4 linked regions of the Lepisosteus oculatus genome follow. The protein of the gene in region 3 purifies or fractionates together with the protein of the main gene of each other region. This does not show direct contact. Links are inferred from orthologs where the notes say so. Each region holds a gene or a part of one and is shown on either strand. Other genes may lie near its edges. The genes, in order: arpc2, arpc5lb, actr3b and arpc1a.

Region 1 (7,132 bases), on a different chromosome or scaffold from region 3:
GCATGAGGACTTTGAAGTCAACACAAGACTTGATAGTCAACACAAGCCTCCTTACTGTCCCCCAAGCCCACCTACATTGTATGGGTGACAGGGTGTTCTCCTGTTTGCCCCCAAGCTCTGGAATTCTCTCCCCAAGGATATCAGAGAGTCACCTTCTCTAAACTCCTTCAATCCAAACTCAAAACTTTCTTCTTTAGAAGAGCCTTTACGTAACTTCCATTCTTTACCCCTCTGCTCCTACTATACTTAGTAGCACCATCCACGGTCTCCTCTGTGCATTGTAATTGTGTTTTATCTTGTGTATTCTTTTAATTTATTGTTGTTGTCATTCTGTAAAGCGCTTTAAGAAGCCACCTTTAAAGGTGCTATATAAAATAAAGTTTATTATTATTATTATTATTATTATTATTATTATTATTATTATTATTATTATTATTATTATTATTGATAGGAAGCCAGTGCAAGGACTAGGACAGGAGTAATGTGATTGTTTGCACAACACCTGGTCAGGATCCCGGTTGCCCAAATTCTGGACATACTGATTAGATAGTGGTTTTATTTACCCCAGCAAAAAGGGCATCGCAGTAATCAATGCTGTAAAAGATCAATTACGAATCTGTAGAAGACTTATTTGTACGGATGCTGTCTTGATTTACCAGTGTTAAATATTAGTCTATTAGTTTTTCACATCTAGAAATTTGTTTTCTTTTTATGATGGATCATATTGTACAGCAATGTGACATGCACTGATATACAGTATCATGATTTAAAATAAATCATCAGAAAAACTCTTGGCTTCAGTCTTGCAATTTCAGATCACTCTGTACCTTTTAGGAATTCAGACAGGTATGTTCCATGTGCCTTGATTACTACAGCTAAACTTGTTCCTGCCTGTCCTGAAATTCCATAAAAACAGAAAAAGGAACAGAAGATGGGTTATGAGCTGGGCAGAGGATGAATGCAGTAGAGTGGGAGACATGAAACATGTTTATTGTAGCAAGAGAAATGGTAGCAAAACAAATCTACATTAATTAAAAACATAATCTACTCTGTAATTTAATGTTAAAGAGAAATAAATCAGAACTTCTTCAATTTTCATCTGATGGCTTTTCCATCCTGTTTCTTAGAACAGTTCTGCATTTGACAATTATACAGTGCAACAGCATTAGAAGAAAAAGGTCACCAATAAGACTTAATTTAAATTATGCATCACACTAATGCTCCTTATTAATGTATATTTCATGTCATAATATTTTGCAATGGGGCATTTTCTCCAATTGATTTGTTTTATAAATAGAACTGTCACTGCTCCTCGAAGGAGATAATTAAATTATATACCTAAAATTAGCATTTATGAGAACACATAATTAAAACTAAACAAGTACTAGCTTTAATTTCTAATTACCTAGCTATTTGTGCAAGTGAAGAGACCTCTACTAATACCATGCATTGTAAAACCTTTTAAAGACAAGTGTTATTAAGGCAGACCTGCAAGAAAAAAACTTGCTCTAGCAAAGTGCACCATATATTCTGAAAGAATTCTGAAACTGCCATTGTTAAAATGTGTTAATGATATCATTTGAATAGATAAACCCAACACGCAAAAGTCTCTTAAGTTGTCCATTTACAATATGTGACAAATAGGGAAATTCATACAATGAATTTCAGTTACACATTGCTATTAAAGGTGCAATATTTCTAGACTCAGCAATTTACCTACACAATACAGTACAAAAACATTATATTCTTAGCAATATATACAACACAACTCCATAACAAAAAAGAAATGCAACCTCACCTCACTAACCTGCTCTTACAGTATCTATTATAAGGAACAAGTAATAGGTTTATTCCATGCTGAAAAAAAAAGAAGAAAGAAAACACAACGTTTAGGCCGTTGAGCCTTCTTCAGATGTGAATATGCTTTTATATTATGGTTCAGATGGTGTGTCTATAAGCTAAGCTGAGTGGTAGTAAATAGCTGATTGATTAGTATTTTTATTAATGACATATACTGTAAGCAAGACCTAAGTTATATACAGGTATACAAGGTGATTTAAAAAAAAAATCTTATGTCTTGTTTATATATGGGACTTTTTACTCAGGACACCACTGCACTCCCACTTCCCTGGAAGAGATTTAAGGAAATACAAATTATTGAGAATGCCATGTATTGTCTCTGTTAAAAGCTTTTATAACTTTTACAAGCAGGAATTTCTAAACAGAATACTAAAGATATAGAGAGAGAGGCATAAAACAGAAAGGGGAAGTGCAGGAATTGTTAAACGAGAAAGTAGAAAACAATGTCTCAATATCAAGTTTCAAATCTTACATTCAGAGCTTGTGAACTCTGCATTATGAAAGCCTTTCCAGGGAAACTCCTGTGTTTAATCAGCAGTTAATGAATGGTAAGGAGCTTTAAGAAGGACAAACAATGCAGGTAGTGTGAAAATATTTAAAAATAGTTAATTTGGAAATATACATTATGTAAATTATAAAATCAATATAATATTAAATAAAAATTAAATGTATTATGTTGTGCCTTTCTTTATATTTAATTTATAGTATGATAATAAATTAAATTATATTACACAATAATTTATATTGTAGTTATTTGCTTCTGCCTCAAAGCACTTAGATCCTAAGTTTGAGTTTGCATGCTGTCCCACATTCTAAAGACATTATGGCTAACCCATTTGTTGTCACTAAATGGTCCTCATGCATATGTGTGTGTGTATGGGCAGGCATCCCATCCAGAGGGAAACCCTGCCTTGGATCTTCCGCCTTTGAGTGATGTTAGTAATAATTGGCTTTCTGATCATTGATGGATGAAGGCACTACCTTCTGAAAAATGACAAATATTTTGATGAGATCTCCTATTTGTGTTCCCTGCACAGATAAACCATCTATTTATTTTCTAACTGCTTCTTCCAGTTCAGGGTTGAGGGAAAGCTGGAACCTATCTTGGCAAACAATGCACACAAGTCAGGGCACTCTGGACAGGAGACCAGTCCATCACAGAACAGACATACTGTACAAACACATTCACACTTACACCAAGAGCTGTTTTTTTTCCCAGAAGCCAATTAATCTACTAGTATATTTTTAAACTATGGAATGAAACCAGCCACACAAATAGCAGGAGAACGTTCAAACTCCACACAGATGGCACCTTGGTCCTGAATTGACCCCAGGGCCATAGCACTGCAAGGCAGCAGTGCTAACCACGGTGCCACCATGTTGTCCATACACAGACCATGCCAAAATGTACTAATAGTATGTATTACTGTAAAAATATTTCATACAAAATTGAAATTATTTTCATTTTAAAAATGGGATTATGGCAGACTTTAAAGCTTCCTTTTTGCTGAATAATGTTTGCATTATGTGTTTTTGTCTTGCAAATACTAAACATGTTTTGGGGAATGAGTGACAATTTACTTTTCAAATTATGAGTTAGTATCTCTTTTTCTGTTTTTTTTAAGGCTTTAGTTGAGCATTAGGTCTCAAGGGCATTAAATCAGTTATTGTGAACAAAACCAGTCTCTATTTTAGTGTCTGCTTGACTCAAGTGATTCATTGAAGCACAGAATAAGCAGTTGTTTCATAGATTCTTAAGGCATATGAATAGAAATCCTCCCATCTTGTGATAACCAAATATTCAGTTTAAAATTACAGTTCTCAGTAAAGCCAGCTCAATACTAGCCAGGTAACGCGCAGACAGTAAAAAGCTATATATGCTGTAGAAGAGTCATATATGTTATGGAAGAGAAATACTTGTTTATAAAAGCCTGTGCAAAAAGCACATATGTGTCCACTGGTTGAAGCAAATGAGCAGAATCTATTACACATTCAACGTCTCCAGTAACTCAAAGGCTTCTTTGTATGGGCCCTCGGTACAGTATGTGATATTTTAAGCTTTTTCGGTTTTGTTTTATCTCAACCTTTAACAGGTATTCATACACAGTACAATAAGTACGAATAGATAACTGGGGTTATACAACAGAATATTTTTATTGCACATACACTTATTTTAATTTAAATTATGTTAATTCGGGGATAAAAACACATTCAGTCATCCTGCTGCAAATTGTTTTACTACAGGCATAGTTCCGGACAACCTCACTGGAGGTCCTTGGAAGACAAGCGGAAGTGCCTGGGCGGAACAGCCTTGCAGGGACAGAGAGAATAAGAAAGATTGCGGAGAAGAAAACGAAAATATTGCAATTTAATTAAAAGCATTTTTTTTAAAGCACGTCTTATATTACGATTTGGGAATTCATTTTCAATCGCCATGATTCTTCTGGAAATCAACAACCGTATTATAGAGGAGACGTTGAGTCTGAAATTCGAGAGTGCGTCCAATGGGTAAGAAAATGTAAATTAAAAATTAATAATAAAATGCGTTGTCTATTAAAGATATACAGTCTGATCGTGCCGTGTTTCTTAAATGAATCTTAAAATACTAGGCTAAACGCAGCGGCCTTGCTGGGAATGTTCGTAAGTAATAACTGGGGTGTGTCTTTTTTATCTTTGTTACAGGACAGGAGTGAAGACTATCGTTTAAGATATAATCTATTTAAAAGTGGTCTAATGTCAAGAAATAATGAGAGTTCACACTCCTGCAGTTTACTTAATGACATTAACTGTCGCTGGTTGCTGTAGTAGTAATAGTCGAGATGCAATAAGTACTTCAACATCCGGCCTAAGTTAGAAAGCGGAAAATAAAGTTTAAGCCTACTGTTGCTCTAACTGATGACTATAAGTAATGAGAGCATTTTACCCTCTTCTGTATATAAATACAAAGACGTATTGTTGTATTCTTCAGGATTTGTAGATTAGGAGAGCTTTGAATCGCAACAGTGACACCTCGTTACAGAGGTAAAGCTGCAGTGACAGCAAAACTGACACCTCATTAAGACGAGACGGGTCTAACACCACCTAACAACACAACACCTGTCTACATATTACTTTACATCTCATAATTATCATTGTCACTCATTGTTTTTTTTTATCGTCGGAATTCGTACAGTTAGTCTCATGATCGCTTTTAACGTATGACTTCCGCATTTAATGAATTGGCAACAGGCGCAGTTTTACATATTTGTGGTCACTTGGGTCGAGCTTTTTTCGAGCTTGGAATTCTTTTTTATTTTATTTTTGTAATTTCTTTCATAAATTATCGTCAAATTTGCCACTTGCTTGGTGGAAGCCCCCTTCTTTGCCTATGCACTTCCGCATTCCGGAGTCCCCTTTCAAGTCTAGGCAGGGGTAGTCAAGCCGGCGAGCAGCACATGCAGTAGCGAATACCAAAGTGCTTCACCTAGAGGAGAGCACCTCTAATCCGCCTTCATCCCCCGCTGAAGGCACGGGGAAATGTAGAGGGGATAGTGATTATCTGCTGCCATACTGAGACTTTGGCTTGAAAATTAAGTGTTCGTGGTATAAAAAAATTAAGATCACCGTAGAAAAACAATGCAGGCCATAAAGTCATATATTTCATGCGTTATCTGGTTTGATTTTTGTTAGTGCATGGTGCACAGCAAAAACCTTATCGTTGCTCAAAATACCGAAGTCTTTTGTAACGGTATAGTGTGTGAAGTGTGTTGCGGATATTTTGTATTTCTGGTATCGCTGAATTTTATTTAGTTGGAAATCTTATGAATGGTGTGTTCCTGGAAACCTTTTGATTATCTTGCAGAGACTTAGTTGCTTTTCTTTCACTGGGAATGCTGTTTAGAACACAAGGTAATGTGTTCCTTGGCAGTCACTGGTTCACTCTTGTGGGGATGGAGAGGAAGTCTACATATCTTCTGTAATGATGCTGTTCAGGTGAAATTCTGTTGCAGCAAGTGTAATTACAAACAATAAACTGCATGTGGAAATAATGCCTTTGAAAAGAAAAATACAATAAATCTGTTTCAAAGAAATAAATGGTTAGTGCTTTAGTTGTAATTTAACTAGATGTAGTTTTTAACATATTTGTTTAGAAATATTTTTAAAAATTGAGTTTCCTGCTTTTTTTGTAACCTTCTTGCACTATGGTAGACTGAGAAATCCAGTTTAGAACAAATTGAACCAACTCAATCTAAGAAGCTAAATAATTCTACTTTCTGATTTTTTTTTTATGGTAGGAGGTAGCTAAAGCATTATTGTTTAATAAAACAACTTAAAAACATTTACAGATGATGACCTGGGAGCATCCCAGGAGAACAGTCTCCATTCTAAAGAAACATGCCAAAATATATGCTAGGGGCCAGAAAAAAAAAATTAAAAGTGACTGTACTGCAATTATCGTGATACTTAAAAGGACAGTTAATACTTCTACCACATTTTTTAAAATGACTCACCCTTGATACGAGCTTTTGAGTTTGCAGTCTATACGTTTCCCTCACACACATTAGCACAGAGTCTCTATTGTTAACGTAACTGATATTATACTTCTGTTTTTTTTCAGGAACAAACCTGAGGCAGTAGAAGTAACATTTGCGGGTAAGTGCAGTTTGGTTCAACATATATAACCTTTGTCTTATGTAGTGAAACTTTTTAAACCTAAAGTACTCTTTGTATTTTATTTTTCCTCTAACAAAAAAAAAAATCCCCATTTCTCATTTGTCCAGTGACACCAAGACACATTATTTATAAACTCTTATAAATGGTGCATGTTGTCCATTAGAAAATGATCCCTTATTTAATGTGGTTCTATGTCTGGAATACGATGTTATTTATTCACATGTAAGAATATAAGAAAGGTTGCACACAAGCAGAAGCCCTGTAGCCTATCTCGCCAGTTTAATAGTTTAGAAGAGAAGTAAATTCTAACATTTTCTCCAGCTGCTTTTTGAAGGAGACTTTTTGAGGCTCGGCCACTTGACTGGAAAGTATCTTCGAGACACCAGCAACTCTTTGTGTAAAGAAGTGTTTCCTCTTCTCCTTTCTAAACAATTATTTTATTTCCCAGTTATGTCTCCCCCTTTTTGTTTGCAGTTGAGTTTGTAGTAGTCCCTCTGGGTATAGCTTATCTTTACCTCTTTTGGTTTATATCAGCTATAACCTCTCAAGCCTCATGCAGCATTGGAAAATGCAGCAATTTTAGTAGAATAAACATTCTGTTCTTTTTGATTTCGCCTAC
Region 2 (7,649 bases), on a different chromosome or scaffold from region 3:
GATTCCACAGAGTTTAAGTGAAAAACCTTGTTTAAATCTAAAAAAAGATTTAGTCAATATAAGTGGGTTTGAACTGGGACTTGAAATCAGAAGCAAATATGACAAGGAAAGGAAACAGGACAAGATGAGCCAACACTGAGTGCCAGTCCTGGGGACTCTCACTGAGCAACAGTTTAGTTCATCTGAGATTGCAAAACACAGATGGCACACAGCATCATCTTCTCTGTTACAGACTAATTTTGAGTCCCTTTTGCTTTGCTATGACACCAGTACATCCTGCACGGGAACCTTTAGTTTAACATGATTTTGAGCAAAACGCCAAGAAATAAGGGGTCTCAGTCTCCTCGTCTTTGAATCTCGTTAAAAACTGCCGGGTCACATCGACATAAAGCCTTTCGGCCGCACGGTGCGCGGCGACGACGACCCCCATCGGCCTCCGGGACTTACATCTTGGAGAGCTTGGAAGCAGCTCCCCCGGTGACCTTGGCAACGCGGAGCTGGGAGAGTTCCACCTTCAGGTCATCCAGCTGTTTCAGCAGCTCTTCCTTCTTCTTCCCGCGCAGGTCTCGGGCCTTGATCTTCGCCTGGGCACCGGGACAGACGGCGTTAACACACAGCCCCGCGCGTCCCCATCATCTCCTGCGCGATCAGCCTCAGAAGCTAAAACTACAAAACCTTCTAGGCCAACACCCGGGCTGCGGAACCATGACACCCTGCTCATCTCTTGTGACCCCAGCTCAGGTGTTAGAGCCATCAGGCACCGGTTAGAAAAGAACACGACCACTGTTCACAGCATTTCAATACACTAATTGATACTTTTTGCATTACAATACAAAAAGTTGGCTGGGCCACCCAGTGGTACACCGCCCAGGCTCCTTAGAAGTAAGAGTGTTTGCAGGGTTTTTCCAATAAACTGTGGGGCAACAGGTACAGGTTTATTCCACACTGAAAGGAAAAGAGACAACATTTCAGCTCCACAGCCAAAATGTTCTCTTTTCCTTTCGGCGTGGAATAAACCCGGACCTGTTCCTTTGCAGCCTGTGCAAGCCGACACAGCTGGGACTGGAACTATTTCTATGGACTGGATTGCTCTCTCCAAAAGCAGATGCCTATCCAGATGCAAGGCGTTCCTGTTGGACCCACAGAACTGACACAAGTAGACACTCCAATATTTTATTGTCCCCAGTGAAGAAATGTGGATCTGTATCTGCTTTTACGTGCATGATGACAAAAAAAAAACGTCTGTTCCACTAGCGTGAATTGAACTTTCCAAAGGTGAGCACACAAGCCTACCTACTAAAACTCCAATCAATACAACTACAAACAAGCGGCATTATCATTGTAAATACAACTAAGTGCTTTCTTGCAGCAGAACAAGTTCCCCCCATAAAAATGTATGAGAATGTTTTAGAGGGAATCTTCTTTCTTTACACTGGCCTGCCCTGCACTTTTGTTTTTTAATAGGTTTCTGAAAGCAGGTCCTCAGCTTCGATTCAGAGCCGCACAAAACGCAGCCAGTTTTATATAGGTTGGCCAACGAAGACTAAATATCAGAAAAAAAAAAACAAACGAATAAAGCCTTCCGACCAAGAATTTTAGGAACCCCCATATTCCAATACGATCATCGCAAAAAGTTATCAAACAAACCCCGCACCACATGCACAAGAGCTGTCCATACAGCGAGATCAGATGATGCTTAAAACAAAACGGTTAACAGTATATCAATGCTATTCTATAAAAGAAGCGCTGGAGGGGAAAACGCTACGATTTATTAAGCCATGCGTTATTCTAGCCACGTAAAAGAACCCGACAGCCATAACTAGTTTATAAAGTGCCCAGTGAGAATCAATCTATTAAACGTATTATATAGAGGGAAAGTCGTGTTTCAACTGGTTTAATAACCCATCTGACTTTTAACTAAGGAGTTTACACACGCTGGCATGTGTTCGTTGTACATTATAACGTTTATAAAGCGAAGGATTAAACGAGATTGGATTTGGAAGAACGGTATCTCACCATCGTCAGTGCTGGCTGTCACAGGAAAGGAAGGCCAGAGGGTCACGGCGAAGCTCTACCGGGTTACGGGCGCTACCAACGTATTTCACAAAAGGGGGGGGGGGGGGGGGAGGCTATAGGAATGTTCCATCTGTCACTCGAATTTTAAAACCTTTCCCTTATTAACCAATGTAACATAATCGTTTACTTTAGTAAAGACGCACATAATGTTGATTGTATTGTTGCAGACGCTACCGACCGCTAATCTGTATATATATAAATCACGTTGTTGTTAGATGCAAAAGCTGACGTTTAATAAGGTTAAATGTCTCCCTAATTTATAGATACTTGTAGAGGTTACCATGTAGGTTACAAAAAATAAGTTAAAAATTTGAACACATTGGAGAGAACTATAAAATGTTTTCTGATTGTAATATCCCTGATACGTAACATATTTTCCTTTTGAAATTAGGATACTGTGAACACTCTTAAAATAAAATGTAGATTAGTGGTCTTCTGTTGAGACGTTTCAGAAGAAAATACCATTCCTCTCTATAGTTATAGAGCTATAGCATATGTGTTGTCATTTATATCACATTACAAAATACATCATTCACGTCCATTTAAATCAACACAATACAATAACCATAACAAAGCACGAAAAGTAAAAGCTGACTCGTATCTTAGCTGTTAAAATGAAATGCCCTATAACCTGCGAGGTAACCTACAACCGGGCTTCATGTGGGAAAATTAATTCAGAAGGTATTAATTTATATTCCGTACGCTCGCCATTAAAAGAGGTCTCCTAAGCGAAGTCATAAATTAGGTTCTTAATTTTATTAATAGATGAGCTATCGTGAGAGGACGTGTCTTTAATAATATACCTATATTATGCTACATTTCATTCATTCACATTCCAAACACAACCACAGCCCACACATCACAATAATAAATAACACTGACAATATTATTCAATAATATTTAATCACATTTAAAACTAAACAATCACGTTTACTACTGTGAAGTGACACAAGTAATAACTTAAAAAAAAACGACACAAATTCTTAAGGAAAGCCTCCATTTTGTGGAAGGCGCACACTTTCATTATTCATTCATCTTTTACATATGCGTCAAGATCAAGGAAACGACCAAGGGATGCAACTGCGTGTTTCTTTAAAGAGTCACTGTCTGATGAGGAGTGGCAGGCGAACTGAACCTCTTATAAAAAAATAAAGCATCGGTTTCCTTTAGCCAGTGGCACTGATGTTCATTCAACATCCTTTAGGGCCACCATGTATTCTGGTTTTCACTCCAGTGACCCATAAATGGCTTAATAGGAATCAATTGTTCACTATATTGGTCAATTTTCCTCCAATTCCGGGTTGCAGGGAAGCCAAAAGCTAAACTGGCGAGCAACAGGCACAAGGCAGGATACACCCTGGACAGGATGCCAGTCCATGGCAAGACAGACACACAGACATGCACAAACTCACACCGGGGCCATTTTCCCCTGAGGCCAATAAATCGACCAGTGTCTCTTTGGACTGTGGGAGGAAACTGGAGGAAAAACCACAGGAACAGTGGGAGAACACGCAAACTCCACACAGACAGCACCCCGAAGGTCCAGGATTGAACCTAGCTGGAGGATATTCTGTTTTCAATGGAGGGGTAAATTAGGCAATTAAGCACCCAGACCCAAGATCTGGAACCCCTGCTCTAGACTGAGGTAATTCAAGATATTGGTCTCACACGCTTATTACTGCCACTCGTTATTAGAGCCGAGTCGAAAAAAGCGACCACAGCTCGGGTAATACCTAATAGAAGTTTGGGTCTTCAGAAAATCAATTATTTCGAACTGTATTTAGTTTTCCTCTTTCGTAAAACCAACATGGCACACTTACATTATTGATAAATATCGCCGGAAAACGTTCTTATACACAGCACCATTTTGTATGTTTAAAATGAGGGAACATATTTGATATTTTTCATAAACAGGAAACGAGCCTTTGAACTGGGGAAAGGGGTGTATGGAGTTTGTTTAACAGCGGAGCCATAATAACAACAACAACTTTGATTTATTTGAAAACAATATATAAAAAACAGCTCTACGCCCTCCGAACAACTCAAAATAATGTCCCCAGAGGATGGAACCGCTTCAGGAGGAAATCACTCAAAAGTTGCGTCAATTTCTCATTCCAAAAACGACTCTGTACGACTCATATGCAACTATTACTGGATTCAACTCACATCTTCCCAAATGGCAGATCGCCACCTTGGAAGAAAATCTTAAAATCCATATAGATTTTTTTTTAAATAATTCAACCCCAGAAGAATGTTCTTTTTAAAAAAAAAAAAAAAGATTCATCGATTGACATTCCCGGTCTCACAAAGTCACAACCATTCGTTGTGAAGCTGTATTTCATTGCATTACATTGCACCTCTGTGCAGCTGAAGTGAACGACTGAAGTCCCGGACTGTAGAGCGACGGGATAAAACACCTGCACACAGAAGCCCCGGCGCGACACCGACGCGCCCTGTGCGCCCGGCTCCGACCCTCAGCCGGCAAGACGGTGTGCCACCACCCACCTGAGCGGAGCAGCCGGAGGCTGGCTGCATCAGGTCTGGGTTTTGTCGCTGTGAGGTAGTTCCGTTTCCGCCAGTCTAGAGAGCTGCCATATTTTTGTCTCTCTAGAGCCCAGGGAGGGAGGGAGAGAGAGAGAAAAGGAGGGGAGGGAGTGAAAGACAGAGGTAGAGAGTGCAGAAGGCAGGCAGGCAGGCAGGACTTGGGCTACATGAGTGTCGCTGCGCTTTCGGCCCGTTGCGAAAAGTACAGTATTTGGACACCACCCCCCACCCCCCTTCCCTCTCCTCCCCGCCTGCCCCCCGGACCCGGCCAGCAGCAGGACTGGGCCAGCAGCAGCCCCGATGGCGAAAAACACCCTGTCGTCCCGGTTCCGGAAGGTGGACATCGATGAGTACGACGAGAACAAATTCGTGGACGAGCAGGAGGAGGCGGCCGAGCAGCAGGGGCCGGACACGGCCGAGGTGGACAGCCTCATCAGGCAATATCCTTTTTTTATTCCCCTCTTTTCCCTGGGACGCGAATGGAAGCGCATTGGGTTTCAAATGACGTGCAGATGGGTATGCATCATCTCCATAGACTAACACGGGTGATACTGTGCGTGTCACGGGGGTCGGGGTGGGCTGTATTGAAAGGGGGTTACCCGAAAGGTACCGGTCAAGCCTCTGAAAGTTGCCGGCATGGGCTTTTTATTGCAACTTTTCCAAAAGCAATCACGACCTCGGCAGCTGCTGCGGCCGGAATTGAATTCACGGAAAAAACGGAGCTCCACATGAGCTGCGACCAGAAAGCGTTGGGGGGGGGGAGTCTGTTTTTTTTTTTTAAAAAGAAAACGGGGGGACAGTTTATACATGCGTTAAAGGATCTGCCCTCAAAACGCATGCGACATGAATCCCCGAATGACCCCCCCCCGATGTTTTCATTGACAAGATGAGGCTGGCTGGAAACTTGGCGAGTGCGAAATCATTTCGCCCAAATGCGTCTCTGCACTTTTGACAGGCTGAAACGTTAAGGTGGCGTTAGCCCAAGAAACAGGCATGGTCTTGGAGGGGGGGACGGCCGTAGACGTCTTCAGCTGGTCAGGTTAGTTATTAATCGCCTCCCCTCCTGGTTGTGAAGCTAAGTGGGCAAAACCGGCGGAGGTTTTCGCCCCGACCAAGCTGTGCTGTTTCACTGGCCCGATGCGCCCTTGCTCGCTGCTTCTGCCCCAATTCACTTTATCGCACAGGTGCCCCGAGCAGGAGACCAGAAATATCAGCCACCACAACCCCCAGACCGGTTCGTGTAGCTAGAGAGAAGCACATAGCCTGTGTCGTGGGTCTGGGCTGCCCACTCGCTGTGTGTATTTTTAGAGGAGGGGTGAGACACTTCACCGCCGCCGTCTTTATCTTTGGGGGTTGCGCTTTAAATAACCTCCCGGGATCGTCCCCCCCGTCGGATGACCGCCCAGTAGACCACTTTCTTGCGCCTATTTCCGAGTTTAGTGGATTAATTCATCTTTCTCATCTAGAACCTCACCAGTACTTGGGGGGGGGGTGACCTCAATTTACAAGTGGGACCTTCTTGCAGTACATACCATGGTACACCCCCATGGATAACTTTTATTTTTCATGTTCACGTTTTATAGACAGGAATGTACCTCGGCGGTTTTTGGTCTTTCGCCTCCACAGTGTGACTTCAGGGTTAAGAATAACTGGATCGAGAGCACACGGGGAAGCTGGTGCAGTCTGTCGTGCGAAAAACGCCTGTACGTTGGCAGTATTTTGCATGCATATCGCCTGCAAGTACCCAGGACATAATACGTTTCTCCTGATCGACCGTTTTAAGATTTGCAAATAATTTGGATGTCTTTAGGTGCTGGTTTTTAGATTTCCAGGTCTTTAATAACTATTTGAACGGGTTCCGAGCGCCCTGTCAGCTTTGCTCTGCAGACCGAGGGCTGTTTTGGAGCAGCCTCGCGTTAGTCATGCTAATTAAAGGCGCACCGACGGCGAGTCTGATGGGCCTGTCAGCTGCACCCTGGTTAGCGAATGTACTGCGGGCGACATTCAGGGCAAAAGCATAAGTGCACTTGAAGGAAATCAGGGGGAGATTGTACTTGATCCTTACTCTGTTTGAAGCTCAGGTACGGTATTACGGCACCCCCTGAAGAATTAGGCTTGTAGCGTCTCCCCAGCAGATGCAGGATTATACTAGTTTAATAGCCCCAGACCGAAGATCTCCCCCCCCCCCTCTCAGATCCCAAATCCTTCCCTCCACTTGGCTGTGTCCAGGTGCCAGGAGCTGCAGGGGGAACAAAGCCATCTGCTCCGAATTGCGCCAGCAGTCGGCTGTTTGGATCCGTCTTTTTCGTACGGCGCAGGGGAGGTAAGTTGGCTGTGCAGGTTGGACGTGGCGCCCTTGTTCTGGGGTGGACTGCAATCACAAAGGAGTAAATAATGTTTTTCCCCCTCAAGCCTGCTTTACCAGTATTTTAAAGCGAAGGTGTTTTGTCACTAAACGGTCTGGCTTCTAAACCGCTTTGTCCAGTATGGGGTTGCGGGGGGTGGGAGCTGGAGTCTAACCCACCAAACATGACCTTCAATTCCTGGCCTTACTGGTGGTTCTTTACGGACAGGGTTAAGGAACTGAATGGGTTTGGTCCTCCCTAATTTAGACGGAAACAGTAGTGCGCTGGATTTGGCAGTTCAAATTCTAGGGGTATCACCTGTCGGGAAGTTCTTTGAGTTGACTGCTACACAAGGACTCGGATGGAAAAGAAACGTGTATCTTTAGCATTTCAAACGACCTCATTTTCTGGGAACAAAAATCAAGGGTGTCCAATCATAAGTTCCCAGCCATATCGTCAAATCCTGATCCCTTGGAGTTCTTCAGGAGATGGACAGATGAGAATGGGGGAGTAAATGTCTCGTATAAGGAGCACAGATGAACTGGGCTTAGTGGTTCCTCTGATTTCTATCTGCTCGTGTGCTCTCCTGTGCGGTGCTACGGTCGACCTGTTATGAAGAGGATGTGGCTGAGCTGTGAGACCAGAGGAGGCTTTGTAACCCATTACTGCTCCTTCTGCCTGACA
Region 3 (7,179 bases):
CTGGAGAGACTTTGATTGTTTTAAGCACTAAATCACTTCATTAGTGAGAAGGTTGATTAGGCACAAGTGATGAGGTGATTTAATGCCAAGCCGAATGATCTGGTAATTGAGGCGTACAACAGAGCAGTCGATGTGGAAGTTCTGTAGGTTCGTTAGAAGTCTGTAATGGCTCTATTGAGTATTTATGGGATGAAAAAAATACTCCTTTGCACTATCACTTTTTGTCTGTAGAGTGTGTGGTTTTCAAGATCACAACATACTGCTCACATTCTCCACGATCGAGCACGGAAAAATGTGGTAAATGTGGTAAAATCATTAAAATCATTAAAATAACCTTGTCTACTTCACAATTACACTGCCCACAGAAACAATAGTGAATGTAAAATAGTGCGCTTTACTTATAGTGTGAAAGAACGTTATTCAAAACATAAAACAAAACAAAGCTCACCTGAGCACTAACCGAAATCTCTTTGAATCCCTCAGTATAATTAGAAAGTGGGTTAGCTACACTGTCTACTGGCATGAATCAGTTTCCACTCATTTTTGGTTTCTTTTGTTTTCTTGGTCTCTTTAGTTTAACCCCTTTTCACACTGATGCAGCACATTCAGCAAATTCTCTGTTTGGTGATGGCAGATGTGGAACTATGCAAGTTCCCACTTTACGATGCTTAAATTGTCACTAGACCAGTTTAATTTAACCAGCGGGGCAGATGACAGCAGTGTCATTCCTTGCAAACTTCTGGGGAATGTAATCCAGTTAATATTGCCCTTCTACAACATGTATGTACTGTATAAATACTGTATGTACAGCTTTATCCAACATGGAAAGTCATACATAAGAAAACTTAAAAGGAATCTGACCCTGTCTTGCCTACTATGTAAATGCTGTGATGTCCTTTATAATGTTAGAAGAGTTTTAGCATAGGAGCCCAACAAAGTTGTTTGTATATACTGTATATGTATCTGCAATATAATACAATAATAATGTTTCAAACTTCTCTGATTATAATATACATACAGGTAGGGAAAATGCACTAATTAATTATTAACTTATCAGTCACCAATGTTTTGAAATTCAAAAGCATCTGAGTGTGTATGGGTTGCATGCTAATCTTACATCTGAAGAAAGTTTCATAATGGGGCACCAGATAATTTTTTTACTCAATTGTAGACTTTAATGAACCATTCAGGATTTTTAGCTCTCAGAGCTACTATAAATATTAGTGTTTTGCAGAACTTGTCTTTACTTGAAAGTCCTGTTTGGCAGGGGCTGGGAAAGAGAGTGATAAAGATGTTTTGAGAATTGAAACAAAAACAGTTACACAGAAAACATGGATACTTTATTGGGTCACTAAACATCTGATAAAACATATCTTTTAAAAAAAGTGACACGTTTTAAAGTGGTTCAATAACAAGAAAGGTATATAAAAGCATAAATCTTTCCAGTGACATACAACAGATATCGACATGATGTTTCAGTGGATTTATAATTTTTTTTCTGTTCAGGAGTCTTTATAAAGGAGGTCTACTGGGATCTGTCGATTTCATAAAAGTTGAATGAGATTTTTTTAAACAAAATTAATTTACTGGTTAATGTCATGATACATTTTACTGTATTATGATACATTACTTCAATACTTAGCTGTTATGAATCATTGGAATTTTGTAGATGTAGTTTATCCTATGTTACTTTGGACAAATGTTTTCATAGGAGCAGTTTTGAGGTAAATAGCATTTCTGACCATTCTTTAAATGTAAGAACATTACAGGTTCTGCACAATTGTCCCATTTCTCAAACAAAGTGCAGTGTGATTTAGCAGACAGGACCTACTGTAATACTAACCCATTACTTTGATATAAACAACAATAATGAAAGTATGATATGATCAATTCTTTAAAAAAAATTGTCAGAAGGGCCTAAGATTAAAATATTTTAATTCTACATGTATCAAATCATCCATTGATTTTCTAACTGCTTTATCCAATATACTGTACAGCATCGAGGGAGAACCAAAGCCTACAAGTAAAATCAGTAGTTATAAAAATAAACTAAAACGTCATTTAATAACAAGTCTTGTGTAGACTGCAGATTACAATACCAATTTTAATATTAAGATGTTTCTTTTTTAATACAGCAAGAATAGGTTCTGCAACAGTAATTTTGGTAGCATCCCCATCTAGTGGTGAATCATGACAGTTGTCATTGAATATTGAAGAATTTAGCTTAAACTATTGCTGTATAAAAACAAATTAAACAACAGTGTTGAAAATAGGCAGTCAGTGTCAGTGGTGAAGCCAAATTTTAGAGCCTAGGAGTCCAAAATGCAATGCATATGGAGATAACAGGAGAAAGCTGTATTATTCTTGATCCCTACAGCCACAAATAGTCTGTGTGCACCAATGTGCTTGGGAGGTTTGTGTTGGCTAGTTATGAATTTACTGTTATATTCATTGTGGCAGGCAAGATTAAACGACTGAAAATTCTGCTGATTGTGTGATTCTGTGATCCTCAGCTCTGGAATATACTGTAAATGTCAATCTATAAAGCTGATGGGTTTCTTTAAGCCATTGTTATTATTTTTTTACTTTTGGAAGGGCCTTATATAAATGATTTAAGTAGAGCTGAGTTGGGTAAAATTAGCAAACCCATTCACAGTTTTACTTAAAAGTTAAATTTTTTACATGTAAAAATATGAAATATGTACATATGATTTATTTTTCCAAAAGGTCATGAGCTTGTGGTTCATTAAAAATATATATCTGGAGCGTTTAGAGCCAACAAAGAAAGACCAAATATTTTATATTATAGGATGGTCTGTCCAGAAAAAAGGCAACTATATTTTCTGATAATGTATTTGAAATTCAATTTATGAGAAGACATACAATTTCACCACATCTCTCACACACAATAAAAATGTAGACGACTACAGATGTAAATGAATTCCTTCTCAGATTTACAATGGTTATATCTGTTCAGGGTTGCGGGAAAGGTGTAATCCTTCACCCACCTCCAAACCTTCTGTATATATTTAATTGCTTCCAATTTTGTGACCTGAAAAAATACAGTACAGACTAAATATATTACTCATTCACATCCTGTGAGTGTGCCAAGTTCAATAAAACAATAACACATGTGAGGTAAGCAACATTTCAAATTAACTCCTGTCATAACCTGAGTTTTCCAGGAGATGAATAATGTAAAAAAATATACACCAGCCCTTTGCACCATTGAAATCTGCATACTTGTTCATACAGTATTTAGTTAGAAGCCTGCAAACCTTAGATGGCTCAGAAATCACCCATTTTGAATTATATGGATTTTTTTTACATTTAGCACTTTTAAAAATGGCATGTCTGAATGAATTATCTTTGTTTTGAGCCCATATCTTTGTTTTTTCCATACACAATAGTTGCTCTTATACAACAAACACTAATTTTGCTATTATAAATCTGTGTCTTGTTTTCATAGCAGGCACCTCATACTGTATAAAGCCCTGTTCAGTGCCTGTGCAAATAAAAGCGGAAATTATAAAATAAAAATACAACGACAGTATTTTCTCACGGTTGTCACCCCCTAAAAATTGCAATTCCAATAGCATTAGACAATCTGACTTACAAATTGTTTTATCATACGTGTCGACTGACACCCACTGCTGTTGACAAGATACAAGAAAAGCTTTTCTGAACAATGTGCTTTTTTTTTTGCAATCCTACACCCTTAGTGCCTGCCCATACTGTATCTTGAAACTAAACTTTTAACTTCACTGTGTGACTATAAACGCCGTGACTGTGCTGTATTTTGCAATTTAAACATTTCTTCTTAGTATTGCACTGTAACTATGCCTACAGACATCCAAGTACATAATGTTCAATGTACAGTATTAACTAAATCGCCACGGAAAAACTAAACGAACTAAACACATGGAGCAAATAAACACGTCACGGTCCAAGCACGTACTACTCTTTCACAACAATATGAAGCTGATTTATAGATGCTAGGTATTAAAATTTTAGAACTAAAAAGAAATAACGTGTTTGATTGTCTATGCAGCTACAGCATGATCCCAAGCAGGCCATACCCGTTGCCATAGGGACAGCTCTCCCTGTTTGTTTCGGATTAATATCCAGGAACGACTCCATGTTTTCCACCTTTGACTCGGGAAGTATTCATGCTGTCAGCATTACGGAGGAGTAACGGTACATGGGGGTAATCTGGCATTGCAGTGTCCTGTAGTACGGTTTCCTTAATTTAGAAGTCAAAATACATATTTTGTTATTTATTCATGTTACAGTAAAACAGGGATATTTGTCTAACCCAAGCAATGGCTGTGCATTTACCTCCTTGCGTTATTGACTGTGGAACTGGGTGAGCTAGCGATTGTATTTAATTTTTGTTTTTTAATGATCAGTTTACTTATTGCACATACTTAAAATTGAACAAACACCTCTACGGCACACGTACTACATAAACACGTTTTACACTGAGGTTTTCTTAATGAGTGTTGTCTAAAATGACGGTCACTGACATTTCTTTTGGTTATTATAGTGTCATTACACGGGTGCACGTCGTTTAATGACAGGTGCGGATTGCTGTCATTAAACGATTTATTATATTTAATAATTTTTTACTTGTGTAAAAACTAGGTTTTGTCATAATGAAATTGTTGTCAAGCTTGTTTTCAAATACACTATCTTAAATTAACAGTGGGGACCTGTAGAATAGAAATGACACTCGTTTATGGTAGATAGTAATCGATTATGCATATAGTGTACAGTAGTGTGTTAGCTTTTTACAAACCATGGATACTCCGTTATACAGAAGGTCTGTGGATTACAAGGCTAACAGGTTAAAGTTAAACTTGACATTTATCACATTGTAGGGAAAGACAAGAATAAATGCTATTTTTGGACGCATATATCATAATATGATAATCTTGCCTGTGGTTTGAATTACATTATCAACTTGTTCTATATACCAAGTAAAATATGAAAATAAATAATAGCTATTATTGTATGGTAGCTATGATACTGAGGGTAAAATAATTCACATACAAATGTTAACACTTTTGTACTGCAGTTGTAAATTTAAACAACAATTAAATTGGTATACAATGGTAGAAAAATAATATATCTAAAGCAAAGTAATCACCAAATATTGCTAAATGAATTCTGAATATGAAATATCTCTGAAATACTTAAGTAGTACTTTTGTATATAATCTTGGGCTCAGCTTTTCTCACAATAATAGTGGTCATATTTTGTTTGTTCAGGTTTAACTAAAGTGGCACAAATAAATGAAATTCAAAATAAAAGGTTTAGTGTTTTTAATACCGTATGCACATCTGTTGATAGGCCTATATACTGTACTGTATGGCCCCCTTTCTTTGCAAAATTAAGATATTTTACAGTCTGTGCGTGGCTCAGATTCTGTAATAGTGATTGGTACTTTTTTTTTGTAACATAAAATGTTCTAAAAGTTCAACACAGCATTTAGCTGAGAACTGATTTTACCCTTTTCATTTATGATTTCGTGGAGGGATGGGTAATATTTACCATACAAAATGAAAAAGTGGAAACATGAAATTCAGGTTTCTAATCTGCTTCCCTGTTGATGAAATGTCTCTAAAATGGGTGTGTCATTTGTCATGGACTGGGCCATATCATTAGTTTGCTGTGACTGAGATTCCTTAAAGTCACAACTTTAAGCGGAACACAATTCACCAGGTATTGCAGAGATTGGTAGGTTTGGGACAGCTGGGTTATTGTAGCATATTAGTGACCACAGTGACGATCTGGGTGCCTTTGAGTTTACAGTGGTTTTAGCCTCATCTTTCCTCCATTCTATGCAAATGGTGTTGTAGGAACTTCAGAGCCTCAGAACTCCAACGGTGCATCCCTGAGAGGAAAACACGGTCACTACTCAATCTTAATGTGTTGATTAGTAGGCTGTAATCAACTGTGAAAGCTGACTACTGTAGATGTAGCAGTTTGGGATTCTAGACAGTGGCAAGGGGACTTATCAAACATGTACTGTACAGTATGTTAACCTCTATGTCCTTTGATGTATTATCCTTTTCAAACCTCATGTCTGTAACAAAAGAAATATTTTATGTAGCTGGTTATGTCATATTTTTAAAAGACTGTATCTGTGTATATCTTTGGTTGCAATGAATAATCGGTCAAGATTTTTGGATACTGCATAAACTTTCAGATGGGTGCATTATTTTCCTAACGTTGTTAGTGTATCGTAAGGGAATTAGAATGTTAAATTTGCACTACAGTATCTTGTTAGTGCATTGGTAGGCCTCCGTATTTAAATGTAAAAAGACCTGAAAACTTGTAATTATCATGACATATATTGATGAGGAATGGAGAAGTTTCAATTTTGATGTTCTTTAGTACATTTCATCGTATTGATCAAGGCTGCTTACAAATTTGAGTTTAGTCATGCAAGTGATGTTCATTTTGTCTCTAAGAACTACAACATTTTCTTTCCATTAAAGTATATGATATTGGTTTTTGTATTTCTCACATTTAGGCTTACAACACAGACAATGCAATGAACAGATGAACAGGTGCTTGTGAAATACAAATTGCTTTCTGTTGGCACCACTTTAAATCACTGAATTTGACAAACAGGCATTTGCAATAATAATGCAGAATTATATATTTGGGTCTCACTCAATGCAGGCCTATATTTTGTGTTTTTCAAAGGGGTTTTAAACAAAAATAAAACTAACACTAAGTCTGCTCTGTACCTACAGATACACAAAGATTGGCTATGCTGGGAATACTGAACCACAGTTCATCATACCTTCATGTGAGTATTAATTAAGCAGTTAAGGCCATGAAAATATAGCCAGCTTTTATAGTACTGAGTACTGAGATTCAAAGGAAACAACTGCAACAGATTCTCAAAGTTATTATTAGGAAAATAACCTTCTGCTTTGTAGCATTTTCTGAAAACACACACATATGGAGTGTTACATTTCTTTTGATGCTCAGTACACAGTGATACACTTTCTTACATTAGGTCAAAAACTATGATGTAGAAAAAGCAGTTGAATAATACTCCAAGAAATAACTAGGTGGTGCACAAAAATCGAATGTACATTATTTAAAAAACACAAATAGGTGCATTATGAAAAAAGTCATAATTTCTTTTCGAATACGCCTCTA
Region 4 (6,915 bases), on a different chromosome or scaffold from region 3:
GTTCAGATTTGCTTCTGCTCTCTACACTACAGAAAATGCTAGTTAAATTAAGGGAAGAGAAAATCTATATTGTACAACCAAATGCTTAAGCTACTGCTAAGAGTAAACTGGCAGATTAGAACCAACACTCAGATCTGATTGTGATTTCTTCGGAGCAACAGTCTATCGACATCCTGGAAACTTTTTTTTTTACAGTAATCTGGTAGTTTCTAAGAGGCAACCTGACCGTGATCTACAGATTCAGAGGGTAACTTTCATTACCACACAGATACAGCATGACACCTCTGAATTTATGGATCAATCAGCAAAATTGTGAAAGTCCAAAATAAAGAACTGGGCAGCATCTAATCAGGGAAAGCTGACATTCATCCACTCCAGTGAGGTTTACCAATCGTTTTCAGACTCAAAGTAGCACACGGAGATGAGCCGAGCTCCACTGCCCACGGCAAACTTGTTCTCCAGCGGTGACCACTTCACAAACGTGGCTGCTCGGTTAATCCTCAGAATCACCAGTGTCGGTTTCCACACTCCGTCCCCATCCTTCTGACTCCAGACATAGGCATTGCGGTCTGCACCACACGTAACAATACGATCGCTCTTAGGGGCCCAGTCAATTCCTGCACAGAGAGAAGAGCATAAAAATGTAATTTGTACAGCTGCATTCAGTTTAATTTTCCAGTGTCCGATATGTAATAAGTTCTAATTCTTTCCTCTTAAAAAGAAAAGAAAAATCTCTCATGGGTGACTGATGTAAAAACCAAACTTCCTGTTTAACTACCAAATATTCTCACCTTTTCTACGAATTAAAAGACTATTAATGCAAGATGGCATTTCCTATCCTCTGTGGAGATCAAGGCTCTAGCCATGAAATGCTTTACTTAAATCCTGTGCAAATAAGAACCACTAAGCACCAATGGTGATTAACCAGATATATTTTAGTAATTCAGAAAGCAGTGAAAACATAATAGACTGGCTGCAAGTCCACCCTCACAACTAAAACTAAGAGGCTGTTGTGACAGAAAAGTCAACCACTTGAAATATACCTGTAATGTGCCCATTGTGCTCCTTCAATTCATGAATTTTTGCCCACTGGTTTCCATTCTTCTTGTAAATGTGAACTTCGTGATTGTTGGGGCTTATAGCAATTTCTGAAACAGAAATATAGAAAAAGAAAGCACAGATTACCCATATTCAACACTGTACAACATGAAAATAACGTAGGTAGGAAAATGGGCTCCTAACATTACAAGTTATCAGGAATATTCTTCATACGCCCTATAGGGGTCACTCACGAGTCCTGTCCTTGTTCCAGGCATGGCAGGTGATGGGTTCCAAAAGAAACTGGTGCAGCGACATTATGATCCAAGAGATTCCTCAGGCAGCTGACCAAATTCTGCAGGAAATAAAAAAAACATCCATTGTAAAACTGGAGTAATCAATCATGATGACACCTTCAAACAGAGCAATCCTATATGCAAAGTTGTGGGAAGTTTTACCAACCGAAAAGAGAGGTACTTGCTTGCACAATGATCAGACCACATGATAAAGGCGCACACACAAATCGTTTCTTTTATCGCAGCCTTCTTACCTCCTTTGCTAATTTAATCATCCCTTTGATACTATTTTAGAATGGTTCAGTTTATTAAAACTTAAAAAACAGATCAATGCATTGTAGGACGTTATTTTGTCTCATTTTTAACTATCAGAATTACCAGTGGACAGTAATTGCTCGTTCTTCCACCTGTTTAACATTTCTCAGGGTACCCGATTTAACCACCCAGTGCGTTGTTATATCTTTGTGCTTTTGCTGTTTTCACATAAGAGATATGCGGTCAAATATCGCATTAGGAAACTCCTGTCTGTAAATCTCAATGCAGCGATAATATCCACGACTGCACGAAACAAACAATAAGGACAGAAAACAGGTACAATATGTATCTTTAAGGAAAAGCACCTATACCTAGGAAAATCCCACCTATAATTATTTTATCGTTGAATTTACACACCATTTGCTACATTTTCCTAATGTATTTAGTTTATTATACATATTACTGTAGACAAGGAAAAAGAAATCAAAGCTTTCAAAAGCATTAAAAAAAGAAACCTAAAGATCACTGGACGTGTAGCAATAGGTACCTTCATAAGAACCCGGAAGAGAATAAACCGCCGGTATCTGGAATTTTACACGGATTCGTGGGTGTGACGTTTTTCCATCACTGCTGCAGTCACTTATGTATTTCCAAAAAGGAAAACGCCTTAAAATAATTATTATAAAATGAATATTGTTTTAGACTTCTTCTAATTCTATATTGCTTCAGTGCAATGTCTGTGTAATTTTCAAACACAGACAGCGGTTGTAAGGTTTAAATTTCATATACAACGCGTTTACAAGCCTTAAAAATCATAATTTGCATTTACGGAGACATAATATTTTAAAAAACGAAACTGTTTTAATTATTAATTTCTATTAATAAACTAAAATATTTCATTCAAAGAGCTGTCATACTAGGTGTAATTAACCGGATCGTTAAGGAAGACTTCGGTAACTTAGAAAATAAGATTAGGTATTTAGAATGAAAAACTGCCTTTGAAAAATAACCATAGAGAACACGGACTTAACCATCACAGATATATACAAGATACATAAAATCCAAGTCATTAATCAAACAAGGCCTCTTCTTTCACCCTTCTAATTTCCAAACACCGGCTTTTCCCAAGAGCGGAAGCCTGCTCCCTGGTGATTGTAAGCAGCATAGCACAGGTCGAGCAAGCCGGTCTCCCGGTAGGCCTGTAATCTTGAGTACATGTTCTACCTACGTTTCAGAATCTTGTTTCGATGGTGGTTTTCGGGTAAGAGGCTTCGGTTTCTGTGGTCGGCGCGGACCTGAATTCGTGGACTCTGGGCAGTCGACACGAATTCACTCCGATAAACTCGGAACTGCAAGACAACCCAGGAAATAACAAGGACCCACTGTTCCCAGATTTAACAGCAAGCTTGCAGCCCAATCACAGCACAAAGAAAACTCAGGAGTAGCCCTATCACTCTCCACATAGCACGGTGACGACAAACGGGAGGAGATACATGTACAATTTTACAAAACGGCAAACACCCAATGAAATTAATTTAAAATACAGAATTAAAAGGATGAACAAGACCAAGATCAAAAATTAAAATGTTTACAATTATTGGCTGCTGTTAATTATAGTCATTATTAATTCTATTTACTTTCATTCCTTGCATTTTTTTCATTCCAAAAGGTCTCAAACTGCTTTACATAGCATCCACGGCAATGCAACAGCCATAGGTTGTAACACCAGGTCCTATTACACTATGCTGGCTTTAAGCTTTGTAAAGCCAATGCAGTAAGGTTATCTGTGGAAGGTACTGTGCCGAGTTTCAACCTAAAGTGAAGAATATGGGGGTGATATTTATCCAGGGTTGACCCACATGTGCAGCATATTGTAAAACATTCTTCCACCTCAGAAATATCGCTAAAGCTGGTCAACACTTCCATTTTTACTGGGGTATCTACAGTAAATCCGCAGTGAAGAAATTACACTATGTCCAAGCTTCAACAGCCAGAATCCTTACCGGGTCTAGCGCAAGTGATCACATTACTCCTATCCTGAAGTCCTCAGACTCACTTCCTATCAGGTATACTTCAAAGTCCTACTGCTCACCTATAAGGTTCTACATGGCTTGGCACCTCAGTAGCTGTCTGAGTTACTATCATCCTACTAACAACCTAACAACCTCCATTCATCTAATTCTGGTCTCATGTCTGTCCCCCAATCTGGTCTTCACTCTGAGTCACAAAGCCTTCTACTGCTATGCCCCAGAGCTCTGAAATTAGATCCCTATAGATGTCAGAGAGTCACTTCCCTTGAGCTCTTTCAAATCTAGACTCAATTTTGTTTTATAAAGGCTTTTATTTAACTGGTTCTGTGTCTACCCCTTTGCTTTCCTACTGTATTTTAAACCCTCATTGTAACAGTTTAACTGTTGTATCACCTCTCACTGCACTTTGAGAATCCACTTTTAAAGGCACAATATAAAGTTTTATTTTATTACACAGAGGTGGTCATTTATGTCCAGGCCATGACATTACCTCCACTATGCTTCACAGAAGAGGTGGTGTTGATTAGAGCATCTGTAGTTGTATTCTTTCTCCACACCTTCACCTTTACCAGAATAATTGAAAAGTTATCCAATTCCAGTATGTATCCTATTAACAAATCCTGGCTTATCTCTGTTCTTGGTGCTAATGAGAGGTTTACATCTTAAGGTGTAGCCTTTGGAATTCTGATCTCTGATCAGTCTATTATGAGCCATGGATTTTGATACCTTCATCATTGAGCCCTGGAGGTTGTTGGTGACTGACAGGTGTTTAAGAGTTTTCCCCCAATCCAGTCTTAACTGATTGACAATTATACCTGGTTACTTTCTTCTTCCATGTATTCCAAAGTATTTATTTTAGTTTGTCAAGTTTCTGGGCTATTCTTCTTAATAATCTACTTTCCTTTAATAGAATCTTCTATGGTGTTCATTTTGGCTTTCCCCCACAGACTCCAAACACTAAAGTCAAAGTGAGACAAGTTGATAGGATGTTCACAGATCTTTTATGAGTTCCTAATTACCAACAACAAACACCTGGCCAACTAGAGACACCTGTCATGTGATTGTTCCCAAGTGTTTACTCCTTCAAACTAAATAGGTTCAACACTACCAATATGTGTAATTGTTTGAAAGTAGAACTGAAGTCACCTTATAAAAAATAAAATACTTAGGAGCTGCAATTATCAATCATAATGAGAAATGCTTATTACATATGTAGCGGCGAGGCTTAATAATAAGGCAGAATTAAGTGTTTCTGAGCTTTCCCAAATTAGGCCTCATTTCTCTGTTCATCTCTGTGGTGCAGCCACAGAGAAACCATTCATGCAAGGTGATTTAAGGTCCAAGGACAGCTCCCAAAGGGGGATGCACTTAGCTAAGCCTGGCTATCATGATCAATGGTCACCCATTGGCGCCTATCTGTCTAGGGAGTGCGAGTTGGACATCTGGATTGCATTCCTAAGTGTCAGGACTAAGTGACTCATATCTCACCTTGATCAACCAATCAGGGACCGGTAGGGCCGAGTAACCCACGTGGGACTCTGATGCCCATGGAACTTTCAGCCAATGAATGAGCTGAAGTTCCTCCAGGTAAAAACAGGCAACACAGAGAGCCTGAGAGATTCAACAAGATTCAGACAAGATTCAGAAGGAATTCAAAGGAGAATCCCAAGGGCAGGACATTCTCGCAGCGCGCCTCCTGACCATCCTGAGACTCAGCCCGGACAACCACGGAACGGCCAGTGTGTCCGAGTGCCAGAACTTTCCTTTGTTCTAAGAGTCTAGAGTGGAGGTTGCCAGAGAGTAACCAGCAGCAGGCCTCGTGAACAGGTCGGAACTGTGGAAAGCTGAATCACTATTCAGAACTAGCGCTTCATCAGGAACGAACCGGTCCTCTTCCTGACTTGCTGGGACCCACAGTCATCTTTTCTCCTGTGCACAAACTGTGCTAGTTAAAGCCAACACTAACTAGCCGGTCAGTGAGCATCAGCAGCGCACCGTCGCAAGCCGCACAGCACAGCCTGGCACCGAGCCAGAGAGCGCAGATTGGACAGCAACAGCCTGCAACTGTTTCTTTGTGCCCGCAGGAGATCTGAATCCCCAGAGATTGGAAGAGTATTCAACTTCAATGCATTACAGCTCGAGAATTCAATTGTTATCCAAACCAGTTGATATCAATTTAATTCCTAAGAGTTATGTACTTGTTTGAGTATCTAATGTAGAAGTTGTAACCAAGTTCACTTTACGAAACGGTCTTAATGAATGATATACTGAACGTATTTCCTCTTGATGTGTAACTCTTTGTAACTGACCGAATATACCTTTTGTATTCTGATAACCCTCTCGATAAGATCTGTTAGGTTTATATGCATATTCTATGTATTAATAAATGTATCCTCGTGTATTAGTACCTGTGTGTGTGCGTTGTTTGAGTTATATCGCATGGTTGGATTCTAAAGCCACCAAAAGAATCAACTTTGTGATTTACTGCTACAATTAAAAATTGTCTCAGTAAATGCCCAAACCCTACAGAACTGGTGCCTTCGGAGAGCCACTTTTCTAACATATTTGGCGTCCCTAAACCGGCATAATCTACACATATTATAGTGTAAATTCCAGTTTATAATTTGTTGTCTAAATATTTTTGGAGGACACTGTGTTTAAATAATATGAGAGTAAAAGATCACAAGTCAAAATAAACTGGACATCAGCACTGTGAAGTAGAGCAGACAGGTTGCCTGCTCCCCTCATTAATCTCTTCAGTCCTAGGTGGAACCCTAATGGACTATATACAGTAACTGGACTTAAGATGCAGCACTGTGCCTGGCAGCACAGGTACATAAGATGTGCCTCAGCCAAGCTAGTACAGATAGACTGCCTACCAGGAATATAAAGAAATCGTGAAATTCTCAGAATAAATGGAAAGTTAAGTTAAATAGAAAGAACATTTAGATTTACTATAGGTGATCTCCCTTCAGGACAAAAATGAAGTAAGTTGTATATAGAATTAAATCTTCTGAATCTTGCCCTTGTAGAGTACAAATAATATGAAAAGCATGTAAAAATAATCACCTCCTTTTTTAATACAAAACCGCTGTTAGCTATGACTTATAAAAGGCTCAAAAACACACTGACAACCTTTTTTAATTACATCCATTGCTTTATTACAACTATGCTTTAAGACTTTGAAGCAGCTTGTTCATGTACATTCAGTAGCAGGGTGATATACAGAGGTGCACTCTCCATCCTTGATATGAAAGTGCAGCATTTCCCAATCCAATCCCATCATCACGACACAA

Evidence for each region.
Region 1: the proteins of actr3b (region 3) and arpc2 purify together in Homo sapiens (affinity purification with mass spectrometry; 6 studies listed by BioGRID and IntAct, counting the BioPlex papers as one, with this or other methods). This does not show direct contact. The link is inferred for Lepisosteus oculatus from reciprocal best matches to the Homo sapiens genes ACTR3B and ARPC2.
Region 2: the proteins of actr3b (region 3) and arpc5lb purify together in Homo sapiens (affinity purification with mass spectrometry; 3 studies listed by BioGRID and IntAct, counting the BioPlex papers as one, with this or other methods). This does not show direct contact. The link is inferred for Lepisosteus oculatus from reciprocal best matches to the Homo sapiens genes ACTR3B and ARPC5L.
Region 4: the proteins of actr3b (region 3) and arpc1a purify together in Homo sapiens (affinity purification with mass spectrometry; 5 studies listed by BioGRID and IntAct, counting the BioPlex papers as one, with this or other methods). This does not show direct contact. The link is inferred for Lepisosteus oculatus from reciprocal best matches to the Homo sapiens genes ACTR3B and ARPC1A.

Annotation. Positions count from the first base shown.
Region 1 is NC_090707.1:22,142,364-22,149,495, reverse strand, and holds the start of arpc2 (actin-related protein 2/3 complex subunit 2), read left to right. Parts: upstream 1-4,129; 5' UTR 4,130-4,294; coding exon 4,295-4,368; intron 4,369-6,457; coding exon 6,458-6,492; intron 6,493-7,132. UniProt on the Homo sapiens protein: Actin-binding component of the Arp2/3 complex, a multiprotein complex that mediates actin polymerization upon stimulation by nucleation-promoting factor (NPF).
Region 2 is NC_090719.1:13,112,076-13,119,724, reverse strand, and holds the start of arpc5lb (actin related protein 2/3 complex, subunit 5-like, b), read left to right. Parts: upstream 1-4,647; 5' UTR 4,648-4,920; coding exon 4,921-5,061; intron 5,062-6,972; exon of another isoform or gene 6,973-6,991; intron 6,992-7,649. Other genes in the region: rpl35 (large ribosomal subunit protein uL29), read right to left, coding at 448-584, 2,017-2,019. UniProt on the Homo sapiens protein: May function as component of the Arp2/3 complex which is involved in regulation of actin polymerization and together with an activating nucleation-promoting factor (NPF) mediates the formation of branched actin networks.
Region 3 is NC_090701.1:10,984,428-10,991,606, forward strand, and holds the start of actr3b (actin-related protein 3B), read left to right. Parts: upstream 1-4,161; 5' UTR 4,162-4,322; coding exon 4,323-4,366; intron 4,367-6,764; coding exon 6,765-6,820; intron 6,821-7,179. UniProt on the Homo sapiens protein: Plays a role in the organization of the actin cytoskeleton.
Region 4 is NC_090714.1:10,186,144-10,193,058, forward strand, and holds the start of arpc1a (actin-related protein 2/3 complex subunit 1A), read right to left. Parts: upstream 3,017-6,915; 5' UTR 2,818-3,016; intron 1,394-2,817; 5' UTR 1,357-1,393; coding exon 1,293-1,356; intron 1,149-1,292; coding exon 1,044-1,148; intron 618-1,043; coding exon 389-617; intron 1-388. UniProt on the Homo sapiens protein: Probably functions as a component of the Arp2/3 complex which is involved in regulation of actin polymerization and together with an activating nucleation-promoting factor (NPF) mediates the formation of branched actin networks.